Regions from separate parts of the Mus musculus genome. Here region 1 is reported to be linked to region 2. Evidence: microRNA targets listed by miRTarBase, many of them from high-throughput screens and not tested one by one. Region 2 holds a microRNA gene; the other region holds the end of a gene's coding sequence.

Evidence for each region. The annotated mature microRNA mmu-miR-3473b reads GGGCUGGAGAGAUGGCUCAG and lies in region 2 at 1,678-1,697, opposite strand. An mRNA with a match to its seed (bases 2 to 7 or 8) in the 3' UTR can be bound and repressed. Matches are read on the target gene's strand: a 7mer-m8 pairs with bases 2 to 8, a 7mer-A1 pairs with bases 2 to 7 and ends in A, and an 8mer does both.
Region 1: the mRNA of Aoc3 is a reported target of mmu-miR-3473b. Seed matches in the 3' UTR shown: 7mer-m8 at 1,417-1,423.

What each region holds. Positions count from the first base shown.
Region 1 is chr11:101,337,138-101,340,544 of GRCm38, reverse strand. Aoc3 (amine oxidase, copper containing 3) reads right to left here. Exons shown (of 4, transcript NM_009675.2): 4 at 1,115-3,160. The coding sequence ends at 2,879. Among named protein-coding and RNA genes, the nearest start is that of Aoc3, 8.2 kb to the right of the region's middle.
Region 2 is chr10:41,669,064-41,672,470 of GRCm38, reverse strand. It overlaps Mir3473b (microRNA 3473b), which reads right to left and starts at 1,732; the gene lies at 1,678-1,732. All of the region lies in intron 9 of Ccdc162 (coiled-coil domain containing 162), which reads left to right.

The sequences.
Region 1 (3,407 bases), not on the chromosome of region 2:
ACCATCCGTAACGAGATCTGACGCCCTCTTCTGGAGTGTCTGAAGACAGCTACAGTGTACTTACATATAATAAATAAATAAATAAATCTTTAAAAAAAAAAAAAAAAAAAAAAAAAAACAACCTGGAGAGGGAATGATTTTTTTTTTTTTTTTGGCTCACAGGTTCACAGCACAGCCCCTCATAGAAGGAAGTCAGGACAGGAACGCAAACAGAGCAGGACCTGGAGGCAGGAGCTGATGCAGAGGCCATGGAGGGGTGCTGCTTGCTGGCTTGCTTCCCACGGCTTGCTCAGCCTTTCTTACAGACCCAGCCCAGTAATGGTACCACCCTCAGTGGGCTCTCCCCTATAAGTCACAAATTAAGAAAATGTCCTAAAGGCTTGCCTACAGCCTAGTCTTATGGAGACATTTTCTTAATCGAGGCTCCAACGATTCTAGCTTATGTAGGGTTGACATAAAACTAGCCAGTCCTGGTGGGAACAAAAAGATGGGCATATAAAGGAGACTTGAATTCTTTAGGTTGGAAGGATGTGGTGTAGTGAAGTCAGAACTCACAACTGAGCGCACATGCCCTTTGGCTCCCACCTCACTGCAGCATCTGCTTGTCCTTTATCCTTCTCTACCCACCCCAGACCATGTTATAAATGAAGCCAGCCACTGTTAGCCCTGCTCCTTACTGAAGAGTTCCCCCTTGATCTTTGGAGTCTGCTTTCTTTCCGCTCACTGACTACCCCCCCCCGCCCCCCAACCATGGTTCCACATCAACCTCTAGGAGAACATTAGATTGGACAGAGAGAAGTCAGGGAAATGTTCCAGGTGTCTGATCTCTTGAATGTTGTCGCCTCTCTGGTCAGAAACTGAGCAGCACCCAACACTGTTTCTGCCACTTCACCTCTTGGTTTAGCCTGGGCATCTGGCCAATCAGAAGCCCCCATTTCCATTGCTTCTCATTATTCCCTCCTTCGAGAGAAAGAATGGGGATGGAGGAAGCTATTGCTTCCGAATTTATACAAGAAAGGAAAGACAAGGACTGTATGGCAGGCTACCTACTTTTCTAGGTCTCAAGAACACAGGCAAGCCACACACAGCATGTTTAAAAGGAAAGACAAGACAGTTAGTGTATAGCCCACTTATTTATTTTGACGGGGCAATATGATCACATGGTTCCAATCCATGATGTTCAGAAGGGCAGGCAGAACCTGATTCCCTCTCAGCTGTCTTCCTCCTCAGAGGTAACTGGTCTTACTCAGTTCTCAAGGAATGCAGCAGAAATAAACAAATGTACACTTATCGCCTACTCATTTTTAGCTTTTCTTTTGTCTTTAAAGAACTCTCTTTTGGTTTGTTTGTTTTTGTTTTGCAAGACAGGGTTTCTCTGTATAGCTATGGCTGTCCTGGAACTCACTCTGTAGACCAGGCTGGACTCATGCTCAGAGATCTGTCTACCTCTGACTTCCAATGCTGGGATTAAAGTCATGTGTCACCGTGCCAGGCTGAGTTCTTTTATTTTGTATTTATATGTATGTGTCTGTGTGAAGGTATGTGCATTAAGTTTAGGTGCCCCTGAAGAGGGCACCGGCTCTCCTGGAGATAGAGTTATAGATTGTTGTGAGCACCTTAATAAGGATGCTGGGAACGGAATTTGGGCCCCTTGCAAGAACAGTGCACACACATCTTTCCAGCCTTTCTTCCATTAACTACAGTAATAACATTAGTTAACAACGGGGCTGGCCAGACTGCTAGGGAATGATGTATCTGTTGTTTTGAGTCATGTGTGTACCAGCCCCTGTCCAGGTCTCAGCAAAGACAAGCAGCAAAGAGAAACCCTGAAACAGGTCCCACCAAGGCAGATCAGACTCAGGCTCATTTGCATGCCTGCTTCTGATTGGGCAGACCCCATCCTATCTCACTGTCCCGAGCTGGCTCCTGCAGGCTACTGCACAGAGACCAGAGCCATTAGTGGAGCAGAGCCATAGAATAAAATAACCATTCGTCATAATCATAGCACCTCCATCTTCTTGTAAAGAGGGCAAAGCAGGGCTACCGCAGGGACAAGCCCTACTCCTTCCTGATATGTGACGAACGTTAGGAGATAGAAAAGCCTGGTCCTCTCCCATGAGGCTTTGCATTACATCTTTGAGATTTCCACAGACTCGGGTCCAGGAGAAGAGACTGCAGTTTGAGAATGAGGGCTCAGAGAACTCTTAGGACGGACATCGCTTTTGGACTGAGTAGGAATCCTAGCATGTATGAGCAAGCAGGAACTCCAGGAAGAGGGGAGGGAGGGGGGAGGGAGGAAAGGAGAGGGGGCGGGGAGGGAGAGGGAGAGAATGGAAATGAAAGAGGCTTAAGTAGGAAAGGGATGTAGATGAAGAATCTGTGGATGTGAGAGACTCAGAGAGACCCTACTTTGGGGGTCTCTAGAGAGTTATCCTCATTGCAGAGTCCTCAAAGCTATCATAAGCTTTTAAATGAAAGCCAAATAGGGGGTGCGGTGGGGGTGGGGAAAAGGAGCCATATTCAAAGCAAAACAAAACATAGCCATTACTCCAGGCTCCAACAAGGCTATTCTCCCAAGGCAGGAACTCAGTACAGGCACAACCAACAAAGTTCAGTGTCCCTGTGCATCAGGTTTCCATGGGCTCAGGATGCTCCAAGCAGAGAGGGAGAGACAAGGAGGGCAGCAGAAGAGAGAGGGGACATCAAAGATGTGGGGACAGAAGGAACCAGATCTTCAATCGAATTGCTCTGTGTACTGCCCGGCTGTTGCGCTACTTCCCAGCTCTTAGCTAGATTGTCCATCTTGGGGACACTTAATGGCGTGGGGAAGTGAGCACATGGTCTGAGCAGGAGCGAGGGAGGGATACTTAGAAACAGTTCAATTGTCTCTGTAAGCAAAGCCCCCATGGGAGAAGGCAGGAATTTCGGGGGCACAGGTGGCAGTCTGGGACAGGCAAGCCAAGGGGTTAACCTCACAGGCCGTGGCATCCTGGCCCTCCCGGAAATAGATGGAGTCAGCAGAATGAAAGGAGGGGTCCTCGTCAAAGAAGTTATACGGCCGGAGGAAGAAGCCCACTGAGTTCCCCGCAGTCACCGTGTTGGGGATATCTTCTGCATGAGGGATGTGCAAAAAGCCAGCCGTCACCCAGGCTACCAAGTCCTAGCAGGAGAGAGGAAATGAGGATGGTGAGGTTGGCCAGACACACCCTCTCTACACAGCCGCCTCCCAGGGAAGAAGCTATTCACAAGACCATAGATCTTGAATCTTTTTAAACAGTGTCTCTTTTGGATGTCCCAGAAGGATAAACATTAAAAGCTCATTGCATATTGGAAACAACCACTGTCTCCCCGAGGGAGGCTGGCTTGCATCTCCATCTCTCGTGCTTCCCATTACAACACCTTTCACC
Region 2 (3,407 bases):
AAAACACACACACACACACACACACACACAAAAGGGGCACTCATTTTGAACGTACATAAGGAAGAATATTGTCTTGTTCTGCCTTGACTGGGAATGCGGCCAGCGTCCCCAACTCTGTGCCTGTCTATGAATGACCATGATTGACAATGGAATCACAAATACATTTTAATGAGTAGGTAGAACTGAAAATATAGAATCCATGTTTGAGAAAGTTTGATTGTAATATGAAGGAAAGGAGTCTCTTTTTAAAGAAGTGTGTGTGTGTGTGTGTGTGTGTGTGTGTGTGTGTGTGTGTCACAAGCCTGCAGGCACCACTGTGGGCCAGAAGAGGCATCAGATCTTCTGGAACTTGAGCTATAGGCAGTTATGAGCTGTCTGATGTGTGTGCTGGGAACGAAACTCTGAAAGGAAAGTCTGGTACAATTTGTTGCTGTTGTTTATTCAAGCTGCTTTGGCAAAGTTCAATGAAGTGTGTAGCTAATGAGCAAAGTCACTTTGCTTTTTACATTTCTGGGAGCTAAGCAGGTCTGCCTGCTAGCATGGTTGGAATCTCCCAAAGACTCTTTCAGGCTATAGACTGCTGGATGTTTGCCATTTCCTGGGTGGCAGGAGAGACACACAGCAGCCTTAGGCCTCTTATGAGAGCAAATTCTCTAGGGTTCTACCTTTATGAACGTATCCCCTCCCAAGTCTCACTTACAGCATCGTGTTGCAGGGTGGGTTTCAACATTAATCTTAGAGAGACACAGTCCATCCTGAACGGTGAGCTGGAAGAAAGAAAAGGAAAGGAAAGGAAGGGAAAAGAAAGGAAAGGAAAGGAAAGGAAAGGAAAGGAAAGGAAAGGAAAGGAAAGGGGAAAAAGGAAAAAGGAAAGGAAAAAGGAAAGGAAAGGAAAGGAGAAAGGAAAGGAAAGGAAAGGAAAGGAAAGGAAAGGAAAGGAAAGGAAAGGAAAGGAAAGGAAAGGAAAGGAAAGGAAAGAGAGAGAAAGCTCAAAGATTATTCTCTACCTGGGTTTCTACTCAGGCAGTCAGTGTAGGTGGCACAGACCCTCTGTCTTAGAGTTAACCTCCAAGCATAGATATTAAGGAGGTACATGGGCAGAACAGTCAAGAGCATCCAGCCTTTTGACACTAACACATGCCATTGTCACCTGCAGAGTTGTGCTTGGGAATTGTACAATTGCATTTTTAAAAAATTTGGTTTTGAGGAAGTTTAGCATTTTGTGTGTGGCTGCATTCATAGCTATTCTTGGCCACAGGTGGACACAGGCAGTCTGTACATAGAAAGCTGAGCATATCTATTTGGGCTGAGATATGAATTTGAGAATTATCACCTTGATGGTGAAATATAATTTGTAGCCATAGCATTAAGTTTAGAGACACAGTTTCTCTTCTTTCTTCTCTCTCTCTCTCTCTCTCTCTCTCTCTCTCTCTCTCTCTTTCTTTCCTTTTTTCCTCAGAAACAATGGTAACTCAATCTCTGGGCACAACAATTAAAACCTCACCTTTTTTTTTTTAAGATTGATTTATTTATTTCATGTATGTGGGTACACTGTCACTGTCTTCAGACACACCAGAGGACAGCTTCAGATACCCATTACAGATGGTTTTGAGCCACCATGTGGTTGCTGAGAATTGAACTCAGGACCTCTGGGAGAGCAGTCAGTGCTCTTAACTGCTGAGCCATCTCTCCAGCCCTTAAAACCTAATCTTGGGCTGGAGAGATGGCTCAGTGGTTAAGAGCACTGATTGCTCTTCCAGAGGTCCTGAGTTCAAATCCCAGCGACCACATGGTGGCTCACAACCATCCGTAATGAGATCTGACACCTTCTTCTGGTGCATCTGAAGACAGCTACAGTGTACTTAGATATAATAATAAATAAATCTTTAAAACGAAAATTTAAAATCCTAATCTTATAAGCCTTATTTGAATCTGATTTCTTGGTGGCGAATTCTTGTGGATTCACCATGATACCGGGAAACTCTAGCAGCTACATCTTACCCCTCTGCTGACCTGTTCCAAAAGGGACTAACTCTCTCCTGCTTCTTCTTGTTGTCCTTCCAACCTGGAAGTCCCGCCTACTCTCCCAGTGATTGGCTCCTTTATTCATTAGGTGATTGGTTCACAAGAACAACACCAGGCCCGTCCACAGCACTTCCCCCTTTCTGTTCTAATTAAAAAAAAACAAAACCTTTCTCTCAAATATAAACAGAGCACAACTATTACCATTTTGTAATTTATAAAGTATAAGATAGACCTAATACCCAGTCCATCATTTATGCCATTAAGATCAAACATTGTCATCTATCCAAAATTAAAAGACTTAGAATTCTATCTTGACTTATATCCTGGCTTTAGATTGTATGCCACCTGAAAACCATCCTCTCAAATCTATTCTCTCAAAGTAAATAGCCTGGGTTGACTATGAGACTATAAGTAGTTTTTCAACCCCATCAGAAATCCGAGAATGACCAGCATTAACTGAAAATATATAGGAAGCCTAACAGGACTTCCAGAATTGAGACAAATTGTAGAGACAGCTGCCTGCCTATACAGCCCCTGTAAGTCAGGAAGATGGAGCATGTCTTCAGCCTTCTGGCCCAGAATCATCTGACAGACCTTAGATATACAGAAATATTAAGGACTGCCCTATTCTATCTCAGCAGAACTAAGCTGTATTAACCTGTAAACTGTATCCTTTCAAGAACAGTACAGGTCTGCAGGAAAGACTGACAATTTTCTGCCCAGTGGCTACCTAGCTACAATGTATCACCTCATCTGGAGGTAAGATGCTCAGTTGCTTCTTTGAATCCAGGAATGGGAAGCTGTTAGGAGCAGATTTGTCTCAACAACAAGTGAATAAATAACATTAAATATCACATTCTGTGGATTTCTTACATTTTTGAAAATCAACTATCTATATAAAGTAATCTGGACTGTTCTCTGATAACTACTCTCAGCTATTTCTAATTAAAATGTCTGAAAACACCCTAACAATAAACTCAGAGCCATGAATTTGCTATTTGGCCCTTAACTCACAGGCTTAATCATCTCAGATCAGTTTATAATAACAGTTACAGGAGGACTGGGTCTAAGCCCTATACTTTTAAATTTTTTGTGTCAATAGAAGAAATTTATACCAATGAAAACCTTGATTTTGCATCAGAATAAATTCTGTACCAAAATAAGCAACTATGACTTCAACTTAGTAACAATTAAAAAGATTTCTACAAAATGAGATTATGACTATTCAATCAATTCTAGCTATTTCTCCCTATTCCAATTATGACCATTTTTATATTCTCTAGAAAGACAACCTATAATAGCCCCCCCACAGCCCCAAAGCCCAGGGAACTGGGGCAACAACTCTTCATAACTTCATCAAGCTGAATATGGGCATTGAGATA